Linked DNA regions of Neodiprion lecontei. The protein of the gene in region 2 purifies or fractionates together with the protein of the main gene of each other region. This does not show direct contact. Links are inferred from orthologs where the notes say so. Each region holds a gene or a part of one and is shown on either strand. Other genes may lie near its edges.

Region 1 (5,531 bases), on a different chromosome or scaffold from region 2:
CCATTTCATTTATGCAAACCACTGCTGAGTATGGCGTCGACGCATTTTCTACAAATTAATGTTTTACTTTTTATTTGTGTATTGGCAGGATAAAATTATTTGAGAAACGTGAAAAACTGTTCGATTTATATGCCGCTTTTGCATATTTAAGCATATTTTATTCACAATCAAATAAACCGCTGATATTTATTTATAATACCTCGTAAACAATCAAAAATAATCATTCACAGCAGGACAAATGAGGATCCTTCCAATAAAAAAGAAGATAAAGGTCTCACCTAACTCCTTAAATTTATAAGTTGGCTGCTTCTTCAGAGCATGTTGTACATATTCATGCAGAATACACACATAACTTTTTCCAGACGGATTCATAATCCAGTGTTTTGGAGGCCTTTGTCCCCCACTATCATCACCTGCAATTGTACTATTGTTCCCAGATACTCCAGCTCCACCAACTGGAAAGGTTATTAATTTGGTGCCATCAGGTAATGTGGGCCGTTCCAGCTGCTTGCGATGCTTCTTGTTCTTTGTAAACTTTCTTCGTGCTGACCACGACCTACATGACAAATTTTCAGAACATGTTCAAGATTGTTATCCATGAAAATCAACCATTGCTTCTGAACGTTTCATCTTGGCCAAATAGAATGTAAAGTAAAAGCTGAGTGAAAATATTTAGACGTACTGAAATCTCATGACTTTAATTGCTTTGAAGCGAAACAAAGCTTGACAGTAGTTTCTGAGTTGTTCACTGTCTAGAGAATGTGCTGCCCTATTTTCTTGAATAGTTTCAATTTTAGCACTGGGTAAGCTACACGTCTCTGCAGCAGGTTCTTTTTCTCTTTCCTTTCTTCTCTTTTCTTCTTCTTTTTCTTCCTCCTGCAATGCTCTTCTGTACTGCAAGCAGGGTACAGCACTGACAGGTACTTCATGCTTACGCACACTACCTGGTCCAAGGAAATATGGTTTAGCTAATGTACAAACACGACTCTGCTTGTGCAAGTATAACGGAAGGCCACTGTTGTGGGTCACTTGAACCCACCCTTCTGGTAGAACGTCAAAGTGATTGTGACCAATTTCTGAAAATTTAACATACATTTTTATATAATATCAATCTTGTAGTACTTTTGGATCAAAGAAAATAGAAAAATCTTATCCAGGTTTCAGAGGATCAAAGTAATCAAGTCCTTGCTGATTGAAACAACACTTGAGAAATAGGCAAGATGTGTTACATCAGTTTTTGAAAAGTTCCAAAGATATACATATAGTCAATGCCTCTTTAAAACATTACTTTTTTTTACTTCATGACCTTGATAATAAGCTAAGTATGCTTTTAGTAATTAGAATTTTGCTTCAATGATGTATGAATGTTAACAGATTTATTCAATTATAATATCGTACCATCTAAAACCAATTTTTCTTTTTCCTCGTACGGCATTGCGTCTGATTTTTTTCTACGCTTTCCTTTAAATTCGTCAGGCAAACCTGCAAAAAATAACTAGATATTAGTAATGTATATTCACAGTGGCAGTTCTGACTCACATTAGGTGATACTTCTGATGTAAAGCATTCATTTAAGTGAAAACTTGGCAGTCAATAAAATTGTGAACTAACCCTCTTCGAGCATGGCTTCTATTTCTTCATCTGGCACATCAGAATCCATACTATCAGTTGATTCTGTCTCAGAATCAGAGCCACCTTGATCTGGGTGTCTTTCCAAATCATCGAGAACATCAAAATGTCTCAATTCATCATTGGTACAAGGATCATGTCCACTAAGATTTGAATCATTGTCGTTACTCTGGTCATAACCATTTTGTACATTCTGGCTGCTATGTTTCGAGAAATCGCTGTCTTGTTCGAAATTCTCTCGATTAATGTTGTAATTTGAATCAGATCTAAGAACAGTTGTAAAATTCATGCTGTCATCCTCGTCTGATTGCACATCCAGGTTATTCTTGAATGGGCATTCCACAGGTTTTCCCTCTTCCATATTTGGCAAATTTGCATCTATAGTACTGACCTCCTCATCTAATCTCAATATCTTGGGAGGGCTCTCATTGTCAGACATGATGCCAGGTTTCAAGTGTTTCCCAATATGCTAGGAGATCAAATTAAGATGCTACAGACATGAAGTAGTGATATAATGGTGGTGAATGCAGCGTACACACGGAACTGTGGCATGTGGCAAAATTATTAATGTTTAAGTTCAAGGAAAGTATCGAAACGATCAATCAGTGAAATAGACAAAGCTGCATTATGCTCTACCTTGGATCTATCCAACACAAATATTACAAGAATACTAATTTGGTTGTTATAAAATATCCAGAAAATTGATTTCTAAATCTTGGTAAATGAACAATGGTAATTTTCATACCTATTAATGAAAAAATGAAAATGAAAATGATTCATCATATTTTACATAAAGTGCCCTTATTTCTCATCAATATGTATTATATATATATATATATTGTATGTGCGTGCATGTGTATTTATGTGTGTAATATATATATTTATGAGACATAAGGGTGCTTTATTGATTAGTCGTATATATATATATACACACTGATTTATATATATATGTATGTATGTACATACGCCCATAGAAGAGTTGGATAAATTTTTTTTAAATATTTATATAGAGTATAGATATATAGGTATGCATAATATAACTTAGGCAGAATAATAACATTTACTGTGTTGTAATTATTGCATGTGGATTCAATTCAAGCGTGTTGTTTGGCTGCACCACTTTCACCAATGACACCAAAGTCCAATCAATTTGGAGCCATTCAAGAAGTGGCAACGAAAATTGGACATTTGCATTGATGTTAGCAGTTTGTAGCCCGGTATATATCCACAACAAAATGCTAGACGATTGAATGACCAGAGGCGAAATAAACTGTAGAAGTTGATTGATGATTTCAGCATTGTGTCAGCTTGTTAGCCCCAGGACTAGACAGAGACAACATAGAAAAATTGTTTCCGATACTAGTCGGGGCTAGCTGCTGGCTATTTATCAGTAGTCATTTCACATGGACCAAAGTGTGACAAGTATCTATGGCAAACGAGTTAGTTTTTTTAAATATGTCTTTTAAAAAATGCTGAGCGGAGGAGTTTAGGTAACTCTGATCACAGATAAACTTGACATCGAAGTCAATTTCTGGCCAGATTACAAATCAGATCCTCTCAAAGAATCAGAGTATTTACATTGCCATATTTGTTAAAATTCTCTTAGACGAACAATATGCGTTGTCACAACTCTTTGCAACCATCAATTGCATTGTTTATCAGGAAAAAATCTGAATTATACTACTACAATACGATTGCGTCCAATCAGCCCATACTTTTGATACACAATCGTGATAAATTAAAATTACATATCGCAATACCTGATTTATCGGTTATCGATTTCAAGCAGATAGATTCGCACTTCTAAGCCACGAATTACTCGTACAGCGGTATAATCTCAACTTTCATTTCTCCCAACTTGTCTATATTTTACATCTTATACACGGACGCCATCTTTTTATACGCTCCGTCGTGATCCCATGGCTACTATGAAAACTATACAAGGAGTCACAAAGAGCACTACGTTACGTTAATTTTTTGTACCTCGCTAGTGTTCTCTTTGAAGGGGAGTGTCATTTGCAGGGATGCTCAAGATCGACTAATCGATCACACACACTTGTCGACGCCATCGACGCCTTTGTGAACACGAAATATTTAAAAATAAAAAATCGCCGCTAACTAGGTGCCATGGTCATAGGCATATAAGAAATGTCTATGGCCATGGTGCAGCTCAGCCAGTGTTGCCAACCGTACGGTCAGCACCGTATTTATACGGTAATTTTGCCTTCTGTACGGACATAACGGTCCTGCTTGACTGTACGCTAAATGTATGTACGGTCCTGGAAAAATTCTAAGAATTTAAGTTATTTTTGGACTCTCCTCTAATATCGCAAAAGAATCAGGTACGGAAGTATAAAGAAACTGTCCGAGTAATTCACATTTCTGGTTATATGTTTTTAATTATTGATACAAAAATAAAGAAGATAATATTTTCTCCAAATTCCCAGCAACTCCTTCGTGTAATTGAAAAATTCACAATCTTTATCGTTAGTTTGAAATATTCTTGAACGTAACAATGTCAATAATTTGGTTAAATCCTGTCTGGTCCTTGAGAAAAGGAACAAAATGAACAAAATCTTGGTCATTTTACGACCATAAAATATAAACCACAAAAATGTACTCCGTGAAATCTTTGTATACGGTTGTAAATTCAAAGTACGGTCCATTTTCACATTGGGTACGACCTATGGCCACCAGAGGGTTGGTAACGCAGCCACAGCAGCGGCGTGGCTTATGGTCAGGGTGGTGGCTTGGGCTCAGCTTGGCTAAGTAACTTTGTAGTTCAAGGTTGATTAATGCGGGTCAGTAATTTTGTTGGTGTATCAATACTAATCAGTTGAGAAAAAAGAACAAAAAAATAATCAAATTTGAAGAAGAACCTATTTATCAGTGATTGACAAAGTTTGGCTCAGTTTAGCCGAAGCAAGCGGACCTAGAAAATTTTTAATCAAACGTTCCAGTGCTGAATAGCTACATATAAATCACACTACACGCTCAGGATGTATGTAAATTAATATCATATAGTATTTCCCGCAACAATATTAAACCTGATATTTTGATATTATTACTCTTTGAATCGTAGTTGAAACACCGCATTGCGCCCGTGCGACACTTCTTGATCAGTTTCTGTTGGTCTCTGAATGATTCTGAGGATTTCGTATTTTTACAAAGTAGTCTTGATTATAGACTTCTGAAATTATTCACGAAGTGAACCGACATGTTTATCTTAGCTACAAAATTTGTGAATCCCAGTTGTGAAAATATTGGTTACATGTTACAATACTAGCCACCTATTGATTGAAATTATTATGTTAAAGCACAGCTAGCAACATGTCCAGCACATCGCAAAAGCACAGAAACTTCGTAGCTGAACCAATGGGAGAAAAGCCGGTGACTGAACTTGCTGGTGTCGGTGAAGTTTTAGGCAAAAGATTGGAGGCGGCTGGTTTTGATAAGGTTTGTGCAACAATTGTAATCCATGATTGTCACGTATTTGGTTAACTACACGTGGTTACATTTACCATACATATAGCCTCGAAATTGTTACTGAAGAAGACATCACTTTATACATCGTAGTAACAAATTTTCAACTTCTAATTTGTATGAAATTTCGCACAGGCTTATGTTGTTCTTGGGCAATATTTGGTTCTGAAGAAGGATAAAGAGTTGTTTCAAGAATGGATGAAAGATACATGCAGCGCAAATACAAAACAGTCTCAAGATTGCTACCAGTGCCTTTGTGATTGGTGTGAAGAGTTCTTGTAAATATTAGGCAAAATGAGTGACATTTTTTTACTTTTGTAAATGATTGAAATTGGTTTTTTTTTTGTTTTTTTTTTTTAACAAAATGATCTTTCATATAACTATAACTTAAAAGCATGTTCTACCAAATTCAATTGTAT
Region 2 (5,531 bases):
AACATGACAAGTTTGAAATATTTTAGATGAAATATAATTACAATTGCCATCAAATATTATAAAAGTGTTTTACTCACCGAGCACAAATCCTCAGTCACCTTCTTCTCCTAGTCTTCCTCGTCCTCCTCCTCGTCGACCTCCGACCACCTCCAACCACCGCCAACCACCGCGGAACACACACACACACACACACACACACACACACACACACACACACACACACACACACACACACACACACACACACACACACACACAGGCGGCTTCTTCACAGGGCTCACGAACTCAACGTCGCACTGCAATCCGTTGTCCGCAGGCCGCTCGCCGTCAAGTCGAAACTTGCCGAACGCATTGTTTGTCTAAAATTCGTTCAAGGCCGTGAGAATCTTCTCGAACCTTCTGGAAGCTTTCAAAACCTGATACACGCCAGGATTCCCGGTCGTACGTTCGAGGATCCACGGGGACCGCTCGAACGCCTGAGGATTCACGGAGTGCGCTCGGTAATGCAGTTATCGATCCCGCTCGATGAGTATGATTTTCTTTACCGACAAAGAATACAACTTATCCTACAAGGGGTAACACCACGACAATTTCAGGCATTTTTTACCGACGATCATGGTCATTTGGAGGATTTTTCACCAACAATCATGGTCATTTGGAGGATTTTTTGGCATTTTCACCGACAATCATGGTCATTTGGAGGATTTTTTACCGACGATCATGGTCATTCGGGAGATTTTCTTACCGACGAACGGTCGGCAGAGCACATTTGATCTTGTGAGAGTGGGAGTAACTTTCAAGGGTTTGCGTCTGGGCTGCGCGGAGCGGAAAAGGGTTTGAGTCTGGGGAGAATGTATAGGCGGACTGGTCGGCTCGGTCGGTAAGGAAGGTGTTTCTACGCAGAACTCTCCTTGCTATACTACTCTGGAGCGCAGAAATCACAGAGCACTTGTACTGGAAGTCAAGGTTCACCAGGTAGTACACCTTATGTGCAGAAACTACGGAGCTCTTGTCTCTGAAGTCGAGTTTCACCAGACAGCGGCTTTGGAGCGCAAGAACTACGGAGCGCTTCTCTTGGAAGTCAAGTTTCACCAGGTAGTTGACCTTGTGCGCATAAACTACGGAGCGCTTGTCCCTGAAGTCGAGTTTCACCAGACAGCGGATCCGGAGCGCAGAAATCACGGAGCGCTTGTCCTGGAAGTTGAGTTTCACCAGGTAGAATACCTAGAGTGCAGAAATCACGGAGCGCTCGTCCTGGAAGTCGAATTTCACCAGGTAGCGTACCTGCTCCGCAGAAACTACGGAACACTTATCCTGGAAGTCGAGTTTCACCAGGTAGCGGACCTGGAGCATAGAAACCATGGAGGGCTTGTCCTGAAACTCGAGTTGCACCAGGAAGCGGACTCGGAGCGCAGGACCCAGGAGGTAGAGAACCCGGTACTCGAAATCTGCGGAGCGCGATTTTCACACATCCGCTCTACTGCGCGGTTGTTTCCACACTGAGGAATTCGGCTAGCTGATTTCAGCTCGATGACGTCAAGAGAAAAAAAATTTTGAGTGACGTCACTTTCTGAACATCCTAACATCCAAACTTTTGTTTCGAACTTTAATACCATGTACGAAGTATGATGTATGATGTACGATGATATGATATGATGTAGAATGATTTTAGTTTTCTCATTTCAAACAAGAAATACGCACTTCATTTTTCGTGCCGATTCCAGACTCAAGCGGGTAGGCCTTTCGATGGTCAGCCGTTGACTAAAGATATATTCTTCAGTTAACGGGTCAGCTAATAACGCTGCTTTTCTGCGACAGTTGGACGATAAAAATTGTTGCTCATACTTTTCAAATGTGTGTTAAAATACACTCGAAGTTTCAAGAAGCTTTTTTCTATCTCTCCAAGTATCAAGAAAAAAAAGAAAAAAAAAATTGCCGTTTCTGTCTCTCTCACACAGTCCGAATCCCGCGATAAGAGCGACACTCGTGGTTACTGGGCAAAACGGCCGCAGTAGTACAGTCTCGTTCGAAAGTGTTAAACTGTTAGGTTATAAAAATGCAAGTGCTTCGTAACGGTAAATAACCATAATTAAAAACGTAATATAGGAAAAGTGATTGAATACACCAAGGAAATGAGATGATGTTCGGTTGATGTGATAAATTATCCATGTATAGTACTATAGAATCTGAATAGGGAAGGAAATATAGGTACAATATTTTATTATACACACAACATGGTACCTCTTACCCCACTATACCATGAATACCGTTGAAAGTTCATACCACTGAAATTGTAAAAGGATTATCTAATGACAGAAGAAGTAGAGAATACAGTGTGGACATAAATACATGCGTCATGGCAACACCACCGATCAACTCCGGCCCACCCTTTTACTGGGGAACCGGACAGCCGGCAGTTCAGAATGTTGGTTACTATCAAGTTCCTCCTCCCAATTTTCCTCCGCCAAATTTAAGTCAGCCTCCTCCATCGTACAATATGCCACCGCCATCAATTGCTGAAAATAAGCTGGCTGACGTCGTTCAACAACAACAATTACCTGGAGGTAGGCCTCGAACTTATCCAAGCTACGCGCCAAACAGTGCATTCATACACCATCAATCTTGCCCGATTCCAAATCCTTCAAATTCAATGTACAACACTACAAATTGCCAGCCGCCAAACTTTCACCCATCAATGTTAGGAGGGTATGATAATTACACATGGAATTTGAAAATTCTTAACAACGCTAACGCCAAGTGGAATCAGACGGACGCAGCATCGGGTTGGAAGCCGTATCAAGACAACCACAATGCTGGCTGGAATAAACAAGGATCATCACAGTCACAGTCGGATCAAGATGCCAAGAATTTTTGTCAATATACTGGGCAGAAATCTTCGTCGAGAAGTTCGTGGAGAGGTAATGTCAGTGGGCCTGGTGTTACGCAACATTTAGCATCAGACGTTCCGAGTCAGCACCACGGAACAGATAGCAGGAGATCTCGAAGTTCTGATAGTCACTCCTTAAGCAGTGGTAATAGAGGCTACGAGAGATCACGTCACGAAGAGAATAAAGCTAAATATGAGAGACATGGAAGGGACAAATCAAATGCCAGAGGAAATTACTACAACGAGGAGAGCGACAAGCGGTCAATGTATAAAAGGAGGGAACGCAGTTCCAGATACAGCTCGCGAGCGAGTATGGAGTTGGGAAAAACTAGTTTCGAAAGTCGGAGTAGAAAGAGGTCACGATCTAGGGAGTCGCATGTTTCCACCATATCGAATGAGATTAGCAATTTTCCTATGAACCAGAAATCGTTGAGCGAAAGAGATCAGCTTTTAGAAAAATACAGGTACTTGACTTTGGGTTTTGCTAGCTTAGTGTAGCGTGACCTCCTTCAAGATGTGACAAAGCTTAAAAGCAAATATATTTTGAAAGTGATGGTCTACGTTCACATGACTGCAGCCTCTTACGATTCACTACGACTTTTTAATACAATAAAGGTTTTTCATTTAATAGGCGGAATTATTGTGCGACAAGTAAAGACATGGAAAAGAAATTGGATGAGCTGTCTGCGATGGGACCGGAAGGAATAATAGAACACGAGAGAAAGGTGTGGACTCGCACAGCACCAGCCGACCTCTACTACGCACGTGATGAATTGAAACCAAAAATTATGACAGGCACTCCAAAATTGATGGAATTATGTGATATTTTCAAGAAGTTATTAGTTGATAGGTCCGGTACAGCTAGAGCATTGCAGGTTTGTAGTAGACAAAAACATTTTTCAGTTTTGTTGGCAGTAATAATATACTTCTCCATTTTATCTCATTTTCTTCATTCACATAAAAACTATTACCTGTTGTTTATGAGATGCGTGACTCTGATTGGTCCGTCGTTCAGATAAATTTGATGGTTTCGTATTCTACAGCCACCATATGAGCCACCACCAAGAAAAAACAGAGCCAGATTGTGCAGGCATAAAACTGAAGCTTGTAGTAGTTCGTCATCAGACAGCGACACTTCAATGGATGAAGATGACCGAACAATGGAAGAATTAATGGCAAAAAAACAGCATCCACAACGTCTGCATCCAGAAATGTGGTTCAATGACCCTGGGGAGGTAGTATTTTTAACTTATCTTTAATAATCCCGAACAAGAGAATTTAAAATTACAGTTCATACAAGGTGGCCAACAGCAAGTAATGTCTATTAATACTTAAAGATAAGTTCATAATTATTGATGATTTTAAAAACACTCGATTTTTTTCTTTAATTAAAATATTCAGTCCCATTGTTCACTTTGGTCTGATTGTAATAAATTTTACAAGTGATTATATTTAAATTACTGTTTCAGATGAATGACGGCCCTCTTTGTAGATGCAGTGCCAAATCGAGAAGATCCGGTATTCGGCATGGTATTTATGCTGGCGAGGGTGTCATTAAAAAGTGTGAATTGAATTCGAACAATGCAGATAAATTGTACCATTACCGCATAACTATCAGTCCGCCAACAAATTTTTTAACCAAGACTCCAACCATTATCAAACACGACGAACACGAATTTATATTTGAGGGATTTTCAATGCTCTCTCATTTCCCTCTTGTCAAATTACCAACCTGTAAAGTTATCCGCTTCAATATCGAATACACAATTCTATACATTGATGAGAAATTGCCAGAAAATTTTACCATCAGAGAACTGGATTTATTTCGTAAGTGTGGCAATTGCTTAATAATTTCAAAGAGTTGTCAATTTCACGTAATTCGACTGGAATATACGGGCGTAGTTATTTTTCTAATCATTTTATATTTTTTAGAGGATTACCTGTTCCAGCAGATACTGGAATTGGTAGATTTTGATCTACGTGCTGCTCAAGATACAGCCGGTTGTGATCAATTTCATTTTATGCCCAGATTTGTCAGAGATTTGCCGGACAATGGGCAGGAAATATTGTCTATGAATGAAGTTCTTAATTACTTAATCAAAAGCAGTAAGCCATTAATTGACGCCGACGATCTGAGCAGGCTTGTCGATATGCCTCAATATAAGTGGCAGAATTTCGCCGACGAAGTGAAAGGTATGGTGGTGACTTATCCCGGTAAAAAACCTTGCAGCGTCAGAGTTGATCAATTAGATAGAAGTCAAGACGATCAACCTCCGGGTGTCATTTCGTATCCTGAAATCGTTCATTTCGGTATCAGGCCACCACAGCTGAGCTATGCTGGTAACGCAGAGTGAGTATTGATTTTTGAATAAATATCCAGTTGATTGTTTGCATTGACGGATAAAACTAGCGAAATTTGTACTATTTTTTCTCATCTATTCTGTACAAAAAGTAAATGTATTTCGTATAATTTCAGCTATCAAAAAGCCTGGAGGGATTACGTTAAATTTCGACATTTGCTGGCAAACATGCCAAAGCCATCGTTTGAAGACAAGAGAAAATTGGAGGCCAAGGAGAATAAACTGCAAGAACTGAGAACGCAGAGTAAAATGAAGAGGGACGTAACTGTAGACGTTAGTTCAGA

Evidence for each region. Proteins that work in one complex are often made in the same cells at the same time.
Region 1: the proteins of ribonuclease 3 (region 2) and microprocessor complex subunit DGCR8 purify together in Drosophila melanogaster (affinity purification with western blotting; 4 studies listed by BioGRID, with this or other methods). This does not show direct contact. The link is inferred for Neodiprion lecontei from reciprocal best matches to the Drosophila melanogaster genes drosha and pasha.

What each region holds. Positions count from the first base shown.
Region 1 is NC_060262.1:28,355,520-28,361,050, forward strand, and holds the start of microprocessor complex subunit DGCR8, read right to left. Parts: upstream 3,794-5,531; 5' UTR 3,646-3,793; coding exon 3,613-3,645; exon of another isoform or gene 3,390-3,612; intron 3,365-3,389; exon of another isoform or gene 2,694-3,364; intron 2,099-2,693; coding exon 1,612-2,098; intron 1,483-1,611; coding exon 1,399-1,482; intron 1,077-1,398; coding exon 683-1,076; intron 557-682; coding exon 279-556; intron 49-278; coding exon 1-48. Other genes in the region: barrier-to-autointegration factor, read left to right, coding at 4,960-5,085, 5,248-5,394.
Region 2 is NC_060263.1:8,282,379-8,287,909, forward strand, and holds the start of ribonuclease 3, read left to right. Parts: upstream 1-2,017; 5' UTR 2,018-2,356; coding exon 2,357-3,351; intron 3,352-3,518; coding exon 3,519-3,762; intron 3,763-3,930; coding exon 3,931-4,122; intron 4,123-4,356; coding exon 4,357-4,714; intron 4,715-4,819; coding exon 4,820-5,237; intron 5,238-5,363; coding exon 5,364-5,531.